2 linked regions of the Caenorhabditis elegans genome follow. The protein of the gene in region 1 interacts with the protein of each later gene in a pairwise test. Each region holds a gene or a part of one and is shown on either strand. Other genes may lie near its edges.

Region 1 (4,701 bases):
CGGAGATTCTTAGTTGCGAGTTTGCCGTCCAGTTAGGATTAAAGGTGGAGTAGTTGTTTGGGGGTTTTGCTTTGAACAACTTATTTAATTAAAAAAAAAAGGTTATTTTAATGCTGCAAACAAAAAAATTTTAAAAACGCCTGAGTCAAATGTTTCAAACCAAATAGCAAAGAAGAAATAAAAAAAAGAATTTAGCCAGAATTTTATTGCGCGGGAAGTAAAGCCCGTTTAAACCGTTTCCTTTGTTTTTGAAAGATTGAAAAAAAAATCATGTACAATTCTATATACTTTTTCGTATCTATAATTTAAAGCAAAACCCCCAAAGAACGCTCCCAAATTTTTTATATAAAAGAAGAAAACGGAATTAAAAATAACTAACAACACCGACAAAAAATATTCCAAAAATGTTAGGACAACTCACAACATAAGAATTAGAATGTCGCCAGGACCAGGAATTTGTAGAATCACAATGAGTGTGAGCATTTTGATCAATTCGCTTCCACTCTAGATAATTTGCTAGTATTTTGACTATCCTTGTAATAGAAAATAAAAACAAAAAGGGAGAATTTGAGTCTATTCATGAAGAAAAAGAACAACGAATAGACCCTTTTCCGTAGTTTATTTCTACCTGAACAAGTGTCTCCAATTCCTCAACGCTGAGATCTGTGAGCTTCTTCTGACCGGTAGCCACAGCTCGTTTCGTCTTGAAATACATTTTCACATCGGCAAAGCACCATCGAGAGCCTGAATATATGATTCACAAGATGATATTGTAATCTTACACGATTTTGGCATTCCTTCATGAAGGTGTACGGATTTATTCAGATGAGTCACGGGGCGAAGTTTAAGTTGCCATAAACTTTGCGCCGAGACCCATCTGAATAAATCCGTGCGACTTTAAGAGAGCATGTCAAGATCTCTGAATAAAAATAAAAAAGATCAGAAAATGTCATTTTTGAATTTCAAAAGTAAGTAAGTTAATCGGAGAACTCCCTCACCTTCAAGAACAGTCCTGTGAAGTGCCAACACTTTAGGCCATTTTCCAATAAATTGTTCATACTTGTAGGTCAAGGATCCTTCTTTAGCTGGAGTGGCTGGAGGTGGACCGGCTGATGTTTGTCTGAAGTAGAACACATTTTTTAGAGGGATAATATTGAATTTAACGGATACTCAGAATAAAACAGGTTTTAATGATGAAAAGGTCTACCTAACAGCAACAAGAAAAGTAGGCGAATTGAGCACACTGTTACTGCGATGAAGAAGAATCCTTGACAATGAGTGCATCTGTTTGAAAAAAAGTAGTTTTGTCAAGGAAAAACAAACGAAAAAGTAGAAAAGGCACAGAACCTCATGGATAATTGAAATAATTGTGTCAGGAATAGTAGATAAAACTTCATGTTATTTCCTGAAACTAATAGTATAACAGGCAGGCTAGAATCATAACCATGATCACAGGTTTGTGGGAATCAAAATGACTGGAATGGGAATAAAATGGCAAATTTTGGGCGGAGACAGGAAGTTAAAATACATATATGTACAACTATGTACCAGGGATCGAAATATATAATTAGAGTATACATGTTTACCCATGAGTGTTCAGAGATAAACGTGAAAATATGAAAGACATTGATTTTACTAGAGACGCGTGACTTGGGGAGTTCCAACAGACGTGCTACTGTTGATGCGAATGAGATGGCGATAATCAGTGCCGTTTGCTTCCTTTTCTTGTGGATTTTGTACATTTTTTAGCTCCTCATCAAGTTCGTAAAGCGTGCTTTCAAGTGATTCGTCTTCCTCCTCATTGCCATCTAAAATTGTTACAAATAATCAAAATAATAACCGTAAACTCGACTTACGTTCATCGTCATATAATGCTTGCAAATCTTCTTCCGTCTTTTCGAGCATCCTCAATTCTCTAATTTTTGCATCGAGCATGAATCGTAACTGAATCGACCGCATGCTCAATTCCACGATTCTTGCTACATCTTTGAAGACCAGAACGAGACTGACTTGAAGACACTGAGCAATTGATTCGACGATTTCTGCATGGGAGGCAGTGACGACGCTTTTTTCATTGACAGCAATGACCATGTCGCCTAAAATTGCAGTAGTTGGCAGGAAAAGCTGAATTAAATGATTGAATACCTCGTGTTATCCCGCAGCGATCAGCTGGGCTATCAGCCGACACGTAATCCACATAAGTTATTCTTTCGTAACTGTTTGAAGATGTTCTTTTGAATACATATGATTGGAGAGCAAAGCCAAAGGAAGTTTCAAATGTTTGACGACATAGAAGAAGGCTCCGTTGTGCGGATTCTTGATTGATCCCATCGAAAAGATAATCATTCAGTGGATATTCTTCCTGTAGTAACGAATATTATGGTTGTTCTTCAATGGAGAATCAAATAATTACTTTTGCGTCACACAATAGTCGCTGTTCAGAAATATTGTCATCCGGCGTATCATATTTTGAAGAGCTCGAACTCGTGGAAACCGCACTATGAGCGTCGATGTGATCCATAAAAGCAGAAACTCTGAAATAACATATATTAAACAAAAAAACATGTTTTTAGAGTTTTTTAAATGTTTAAACAACACAAGACTCGAAACAAAGTCGATAAGTTGTAAAATTGGTGAGAAGATGAAAGGAAAAGCTAGAGACGAGAAACATGTACGCAAGCGCCAGATTCGACGCGCAAAGTTTATAATGGGAAATTCGGTAATAACTTTAGAAGAAAGCATATAAAATTATTAAACTTAAGTAAAAAGTGACTAAAACACAATCATCATGCAAAAAAATAAACGACTAAAAGACCAAACAAATGACTAGCGCGTGCGCACCTTTTCTTATTTGTTGTTGAAATATATGAAGGTTACGGTATTTACTGAAACACGCAAACACATGACACGCTTTCGAAATTTCAGCTTTCGAAAACTCGTTCCTAAATACTTTTCCTACTTTTGTGAAAATTCCCTTGATTTTTGTCAAAATAAGGATCATTCGCGATGAATGATTCTTATGCTGAATATATAGCACAAGTAAATGAGTTTACGAGGAATTTCTGTATGAATCCTCAGCGATATCTCGCTGGTAATCAGAGAGGTTTGTGGAAACTTTTAATGACCTAAGTTTCAAGTCGATTTTCAGATTTATCCCAGCCGCTTCCTCCACCTGTACTCTCTGGTGAAGCAGTTCTACCAACCAGTACTTCTGTTCCTCAGCAAATCGCGCAAACGGTTTTACTTTGTTTTCATATTCTGATTGATAAAATATGTTTCCAGAACATGGTTCGCTCAAGTGAAGTACCACCTCAATCTCTTCGACAGGAAATTCAATCATTTACATCGTCAGAGGTGCCCACTAGTAGTCAAGTTGCTGGAGTGAGAAACTCGTTCACACAAAGGCTTCTCCCAATCCAAGAATTGTCGAATTCCGAATCTGTCCCAGCCTTAGATACTGCGCTTGTTCCTTCCAGTTCCACTTTGGCAGCTTCATCACAACGTCGTCTTTCATCTCAATCAATTCCTGTCCTGGTTGGTTTTAACTTTTAATTCCCGTTTAATGAATTTTATTGACAGACACGCAAACTCGGTTCAGTTCAGCCTAAAGTGGATGAAGCTCCAGCTGAAATTATAAGAGAAGTGAACAACTTAAATATTCATCATGGAGCCAACAATCAGGGTGAAGTTCCGTCTTCCGAGTTGAACGCTGATCTCGATGGGGTTTTTGAAATGGTCCAGCGTCATCAGTTCCCGGTAAATTAGAGCTTTGCAGTTCTCTCAAAATTTTTTAGTTGCAGCGTCCAAGTGTATTGATTCCAGCAGAACAAATTGAACAAAGTACATGGCTTTCTGAGTCAAATGATGCTGCTATTAACATTTCTCAAAACAATGACGTCATCGATCCAAATAAAACAATACCATTCATTGCCAGCGGAAAGAGTATTGAAAACATTGATCTTCCATATCTTCCGGGTCAAACGGTTTTTCCTAACATGTTCACTGAATTAACTGCTCGTCTACGTTCCCAAGAGAGGGAAGAACTTCTCCGGCGAGAGTTGAATGAACTTAGTATGAATCAAGGAACATCAAATCAGTTTGATCAACAGCAAATGGTTTAAAAAAATTAAGAAAATGGGATTTAAATTAAATTCATTTTTTAGAATTCTCGTGTCATTCCGAATTCAATGGGTACTCTATGGGAATCATCAGAAACTGGTCAACAAGGTGGTACATCTTCCTCGTCTACCGTCCAAGCATTTCAACAAATGAACCAAACAGAGTACTGCAATTTGGCGACAGATATTCTTATCAATATGGATAACACAGAGCTGAAAAATGTTACAGACGCTTAGTGAGTTGTCCTAATGAATTATTATTTTAATAGAACACGATTTTTTAGCTTTGAGAGCAATGTACGCACCAAGTTCAAGGCAACGTATCCCTTCTTAGCAGAGGGAATGATCCAGAGAGATAGTCAATCGGATCCCAAAATGCTTCACGTGTACTCATCACGTCTCGGTCATATTAGAATTCCGGACACCCGCGCAGATACAAAAGATTATGTCTACTTCATGGTCATTAATCCAGGCGAATATGGAGGAGTTAGTTATAATACGAAATTTTAATTTTCAAACATTGAAATTTCAGTTTCGTTTCTTTGGGCATCCAAATTGTATCATTTCTGCAAAGCTTCCTGCT
Region 2 (6,919 bases), on another chromosome or scaffold:
TAGTTGTATCCACGATTCCTATATATTCATCTGGATTATCAATTAACACAACTCCCGCATTGGGGTCATAGTAGGGATTGGCTCTATATCTGCTTGTGTAAAAGATGAAGTTGATTGTATCACGCCGAGCGATTTGAATTTTGAGTTCAATCAACTCTTCAACATTCACAGAAATCGATAAGGCGCTTCGATGCAGAGATTTAGAAAGATTTTTCGTCTTTTTTGAAAACAACGAAAATGTTAATCTGAAATTGTTCACATTTGGTTTTGTTTTTAGTTAAATAACTTACATTTCTAGAAGCGGCCAGTGTTGAAGTGTGCAGCGAAGTGCTTTTGTGGGTAGTCGGAGAATATTCATTTGTGCTAAATAAGAAATGAGAGGGAATGGACAACTGACGTAAGATTATCGACTATTTGAATGGCGAGTCGTTGCGCAGATGTACTAATTTGAGTCGATAGGTGTGTGGAGGCAGCAGGCCACCTGTAGAGCATCTATATTGCAATTTACAGTTTGCTATATGTGTTTGCAGCGGAACACGAACACAAACAGTTGAAACAATTTGATTGTTGAATAATGAAACATAAGTTTTAGATAGAAAACATATGTAGCTTATGTAACAAAACATCGCTTCGTACTTTATGACTCTGCAGCTTCAATTTTCACGCTTCATAGATGTCACCTTTTTATCTCAAACTTTTGAGACTTACGCATAGACCAGAGAACCAGAGAAAATTCAAGATTTTTTTTTCAAGTGATTCACTACGTGCTTTTTTTGTGTGAAAAAATGAAGTGACACGGATATGAGGTAAAGTCTCAAATCGTGGGAAAGTCTGGAATTCGTGGACTTTTTGAACACAACACGGACATGACAAAATTTTACTGAAGAGATTTATAATTAACGGCAGAATGTACAAGAAAACCAGTAGGTGCAACGAAAATCATGGAGAGAAGTATACAAATAAGTAATTCAAATTTAAAAAAATTTCCTAATATCCTTCAGAGACAAGCCTGTCGTAAGCGTCGGTGGTCAAGAAGTCGCTCATCTTCTCCTCGGTGACAAACTTCTCGAGCAAGTCGGCAGCCTCTGGGATTCGGTTGACAACTGATCCGGCTCGGATGAGACGACGCTCGGTCTCGGCGGCAATCGTTTGCTTGACAAGTCCGGCGTCAATAGTGCGACCGTCCTCAAGCTTAGCATCATGATGGAGCCATTGCCAGAGCTGAGCACGCGAGATTTCGGCGGTGGCAGCGTCCTCCATCAAGTTGTAGAGTGGCACGCATCCGGTTCCTCTGAGCCAAGAGTCGAGGTATCCTGAAATTAATTCCAATTTCAAAAATGTTCAAAAATATTTTTTAAGGCTCACCAAGAGTTACAGAGATATTATGGCGGAATCCAGCTTCAGTGCGGGTTCCCTCTGGGATCACAGTGAGGTCTTCCTTGGTGCAATTGGCGCGGGTGAGATTCTTGCTGATCTGGTTTGGCTTTGGCATCATTTGATCGAAAACTCTCTTAGCCAATGGCACCAATCCTGGATGAGCAACCCATGTTCCATCGTGTCCGTCAGTGGCCTCTCGTTCCTTGTCAGCTCTGACTAGGGCAAATGCCTTGTCATTGGCGACCTGGTCGTGCTTGATTGGAATCTGGGCAGCCATACCTCCCATGGCATGGATACCACGGAGATGGCAGGCCTTGATGACTTCCAAGGAGTAGTTTCTCATGAATGGAGCGGTCATTCCAATTTGGAATCGGTCTGGGAGAAGGAACTTGCGATGGTTCTGGAACGTCTTGATGTAGGAGAAGATGTAATCCCAACGTCCGCAGTTGAGTCCGACAATGTTGTCCTTGAGGGCATGGATGATCTCGTGGAGTTGGAAGCTGGCGAGCAAATGCTCAATGAGCACGGTACACTTGATGGTTCCACGGGCGAGGCCTAGCTTGTCCTCGGTGTACTTGAAAACGTCAGCCCAGAGTTGAGCCTCCTCGGCGCTTTGAAGCTTTGGAAGATAGAAATATGGACCGGAGCCCTGGGCGATGAGGGCCTTGGCATTGTGGAAAACGAAGAGTCCGAAATCAAAGAGAGATCCTGAAGTTGGCTGGTTGTGGATGAGGACATGCTTCTCTGGAAGGTGCCATCCACGTGGACGGACCTTCAGAACGGCGTGTTTCTCATTCAGTGTGTACTCCTTCTTAGTAGTTGGGTGGGTGTAGGAGATGTTATTTCTTACAGCATCATATAAGTTGATCTGTCCTTCAAGCTGGTTTCTCCATGTTGGGGAGTTGGAATCTTCGAAGTCAGCCATAAATACATTGGCTCCAGAGTTCATAGCATTAATAACCATCTTACGATCGGTTGGTCCAGTGATCTCAACTCTACGATCTTGCAAATCCCTTGGAATCTCGGCTCCCTTCCATCCTTGATCACTACGGAGCACCTCGGTCTCCTTGTTGAAATCTGGGAACCAGAGGGAGTTGTTGATATCAGCCTGAACTTGGTTGCGCTTGGAGAGAAGTCTCAAACGGCGAGGGTTGAATTCGGTGTTGAGGTCGTGGAGGAAGCGAAGAGCATCTGGTGTGAGGATCTTCTCGTCTCCAGCAACGTTTTGGGCGGTGAGCTGAAATTTTGTTTAGTTATTTTTTCTTCTAATTCTTGCCTTAATATGCAGGTCTGAATAAAACGTACCGAAAGGATTTCCTCATCCTGCGAAGCAACAGCAGTCTGGAATTGAGCTTCTTCAGTGGATCCTGACAAGGCAGTAGTCGAAGAGAGTCCTCCGGTAACCGCACGACTGACAGCGTCGAAGTATCCGGTTCCCACTTCTCTCTGATGCTTTACTGCCGTATATCCATGCTTCTCAGCAGCAAACTCTCCTTCCTGGAGCCCGGAATAGGCGAGCATACCCTTCTCCTTGTAGTTTCTGGCCAAGTCAAACATGCTATAACTGTTGGCATGGTATCCGGCAAGCGTGATAAACTGATATTTGAATCCCATAGCTCCCAACTCCTTCTGGAACTTCTCCATCTGCGATGGGGACAGATGCTTCTTCCAGTTGAAGGATGGAGAGCAGTTGTAGGCGAACATCTTGTCTGGGTACTGCTTGTGGACACCTTCAGCGAATTCACGGGCGTCGGCGATCGTTGGGTGAGAGGTCTCCATCCAGATGAGATCGGTGTATGGAGCATATTGGATGGCACGATCGATACAATACTGAATTGCAGTGGAATCCTTGAGTCTGTAGAATCCTTCAATCGTTCTTCCAGCCTCGTAGTCAATGTATGGATGATCTCTTGGATCAATGTCAGATGTCAAAAGTCTAGAGGACTCTGCGTCGGTTCTTGCGACAATGATTGTAGGAACTCCGCAGACATCAGCAGCCAAACGAGACGCATTCAAGTGACGAATGTGTTGGGCGGTTGGGATCAAGACTTTTCCTCCCATATGACCACATTTTTTCTCCGATCCAAGCTGATCTTCGTAGTGAACTCCTGCCGCACCGGCTTCGATATAGGCCTAAAACAACCAACGATCATTTTTGTTGTTTTTGATAGCGTTATCTAATCATTCTAATCATTGTTGGGTGGAGAAAAATAGAGAAGAAAGATGTTTGTTGACCGAGAAGTGAGCGCTGCGATGAAATGGGGGTGATAAAAAGAGAAGAAAGGAACACATGGAACTTCGTATGTACCGATTTTGGAAAACTGAATAGGTCAAAGGACCAGGACCACTGGACATTCTTTGTTCCCTACACACTCCCCGTCCCGTTTCCTTTAGACGCCCGCGTTGAAATCATTTGAAACTATACACTTTTACACAACAAAGCTACACACCGGCAATGCCAACTGCCACTCTTATCTCTCTCACCCCCAAAAGTGTCCAGTGGTCAGTGAAGAGCAACTGTTAGTGTTGCATGCCTACCTTCATCAACTCGAAGCAATTCAGGGCTCCACCGAATCCGGCTTCTGCATCGGCAACGATTGGCGCGTACCAATCACGTTGGGCGAGGTAGTCCTCGGCTTCACAGGCTTCAATCTGGTCTGCTCTTCTTAAAGATCTGTTGATTCTCTTCGCCAATTCCGGGCCAGAGTTTGCTGGATATAAAGACTGATCGGGGTACATGTCTCCAGCGGAGTTTGCGTCGGCAGCCACCTGCCATCCGGACAAGTAGATAGCCTTCAATCCGGCTCTGACCATCTGAACTGCTTGGTTTCCAGTCTGGGCTCCGAGAGCCGGCACAAATGGCTCAGTGTGCAATAGTTGCCAGAGTTTGTTGGCTCCACGTGTGGCAAGGGTGTAGTCAATGTCGATGGAGCCTCGGAGTTTGAGCACATCTTCGACGGTATAGTCACGTTTGATGCCCTTGAAGCGGCCTTTTGGAGCCGATTTGACTACCTGAAATAATTTAAATTTTAAAAATTTCATATATTAAATTTCAAATTATAAAAAAATAAACCAACATACCTGATAAAAATTTTTAGCCGCAGAACTCATTGTGTGTGTCTTTGTATAATAAGCTTAGTTCTTGTGAGGGAACTAAAGTCGGCACACCTCCCGGGACCCGGCTTTTATACTCTGCCCGACGAGACGCAGAGCGATAAGGGTCCGAAACTATAGGGGGCGGAGTCGAGGCAGTGTGTGATATCATTAGGAGAGAGAGACAATTGATGAATAGATAGAAAGAGACGCAGAGGTGCAGAGAGAACAGTCAATTATTTTGTTTACGCTTTTTTTGTGTGTCTTTTTGGCAGCTTGATATGATGGTTGATCGTTGATGAAGTACGCTTTTTGAAAATGTTTAGGTATATGGGAGATGTTTGTCAATAATGCAGTTTTTTTGAAATTTGAAATGCTGGGTGCTAACTGTTAATATTTTAGAAAAAACTTGGTTTTTCTATCAGAATTACAAAATTGTAAGTCTATTTTAAATTACAAAAAATGAAAGTCAAAATAAATCAACCAGAAAAAATTAAGATATGAAATTTTTAGGGCATTTATATATTTTTTATTAGTCTAGAATTGCACCCAATTTGCAGTTTTAATGTACATAATAATTTTTTTGTAATTTTTCACTTAATTATTTGGCTGTAACCGTGACTTGAAAAATTTTACAAAATGGTAAATTTTGGTTTTTCAAATTTGTAAAGCTTACTTCTTCATATTGCCAGACTATTTATGTTAAATAATACTAAATAATCAGGAAAAAGTTGAGTAAACAATTACATATAATGAAAGGGCAAACAAACAAAATCCCACTGGAATCAGTTATTTTTCGTAAGAAAACAACATTGATAGGATATTTTTTTGGAGTAGCGGGGAGTTTTAAAGTTTTAAAATATGTTCAGAATTTCCCAAAAAGGCTACAAAACTTAACTGAAAACCTATATTTTATTTTAAATTCAAGTCAAATAAAACCCGTTCTTCAAGTCTTATGCATCGCTGAATTTCTGTACAACATTCCTGGTGGAGCTCTCTCTGGGATTTAGGTTCGAGCCACGGAGAATTCAGATTGCTCCATTTAAGACTGGGTGATCCTAGAGGGTGTCAGGGCTTGAACTCGTTGCTAGCGGCCACTAAGACCGGCTATCCCCGCCAGTTTTGAAATATCTGTCAAATTCAGGTTTTCTTTTAACTATAAACTATTGCATAACCTGTTTGAAAACAATACTTTGGTCTTATTTTTCAAATAATTGCACTATTCAAAAAGAAGACACCAAAGCACCTTCACCGCGCCACGATGTTGGTCTTTTTCCAAATAATTTTTTTCTTACACACATCCCCAATTCACCACTGCAACAAAAACAGCCGACGGTGGACAACCCGAATATCGCGTGTTTGGTTCTTAGTTTCTCTGCGGACTCCTGACTTATCTCTTTATCTCTTTGTTGTAACCATATGATCTGTGAAGTGGCGGGGCTGAAGCTTCTTTGATCCAAAAAAGAAAAGTATCTATGATGTGAGATGTATATGTGCACTAATCAATGATCTTGGTGATAAGGAGTCAGAACACATGTGGTTGAAGTTGTTTGACAAGAGAAGTGGAAGGTCAAAAATTATTTGGAATTTGCGGTGCCAGAAAATATAATGAACACTTTTTACAACAAGAAATCTAGATTAAAGATGTTAATTTTCAACCCATTTTTTACATGAAACTTTAGCCCTGTCTTAAACTTTAGGTTTTAGGCTTTAGGCTTTAGGCTTTAGGCTTTAGGCTAGTTAGGAATATTTTAATTTCCGGAAACTTTATTTTTTAAAAATCAAAATTTTAAATTTAGCGCTGAATTTTGTAGAAAAGTTAAAGATATAACTTTCTCCAATTTTTTTTTGTTGTGAAATTAAGTTAATCGAAAAATAGAATATTAATTCACCGCCAAAAAATTTGGAACAACCTAAAACTTGAAATTCCCGCCAATTTTTTTTTAATGTGAAAGTGCTGTCAAAATGGTTAGAAAAATTAATTTTCATCGATTTTTTTGTTGTAAAATTTATACCTTTTAGAATTTAAAATTTAACGATTTTTCCGGAAATTTTAATTTTTTTTATGACTCGCCATAATTTTTCGATTTTTTTTTGGAAATTGAAAATTCCAAAACTATCGAAATTTTTTTTTAAATTAAAGATTTTAATTTAAACTTCCCGACAATCTTTTTTGAAACATTGAAATTTCAATTTTTACTCGAATCTTTTAAAATAATTTTTACACCTTCCTTGCCAAAAAATTTTAAAGGTAAAATTTTTTTTAACCTTGCGCTGTTTTGTAAACCGGTAAATCAATGTGTATTTTATCAGAAAACACCATTATACAGAAAAACCTACACAGAGACCCAGACAATCAGCTAAATTGTTCTTATGATCTTCGGCAGGTTTTGTGTGTAAATGCTTATGAAAACGTAACAAAACTTTTTTTCAATAGGCTCCCTACAAT

What was found. Proteins that work in one complex are often made in the same cells at the same time.
Region 2: the proteins of gras-1 (region 1) and icl-1 interact in a two-hybrid assay, tested with the Caenorhabditis elegans proteins (one large-scale study listed by BioGRID).

What each region holds. Positions count from the first base shown.
Region 1 is NC_003279.8:7,833,647-7,838,347, reverse strand, and holds gras-1 (General receptor for phosphoinositides 1-associated scaffold protein 1 homolog), read right to left. Parts: upstream 2,541-4,701; 5' UTR 2,522-2,540; coding exon 2,414-2,521; intron 2,363-2,413; coding exon 2,146-2,362; intron 2,097-2,145; coding exon 1,857-2,096; intron 1,809-1,856; coding exon 1,636-1,808; 3' UTR 1,381-1,635; downstream 1-1,380. Other genes in the region: F30F8.9 (Letm1 RBD domain-containing protein), read right to left, coding at 629-744, 999-1,120, 1,208-1,284; F30F8.1 (RING-type domain-containing protein), read left to right, coding at 3,007-3,103, 3,149-3,237, 3,283-3,534, 3,580-3,756, 3,801-4,115, 4,164-4,354, 4,403-4,604, 4,651-4,701.
Region 2 is NC_003283.11:723,470-730,388, forward strand, and holds icl-1 (Malate synthase), read right to left. Parts: upstream 4,536-6,919; 5' UTR 4,489-4,535; coding exon 4,459-4,488; intron 4,390-4,458; coding exon 3,916-4,389; intron 3,511-3,915; coding exon 2,683-3,510; intron 2,615-2,682; coding exon 1,366-2,614; coding exon of another isoform or gene 1,355-1,365; exon of another isoform or gene 1,314-1,354; coding exon 988-1,313; 3' UTR 869-987; downstream 1-868. Other genes in the region: fbxb-72 (F-box domain-containing protein), read right to left, coding at 1-245, 291-358.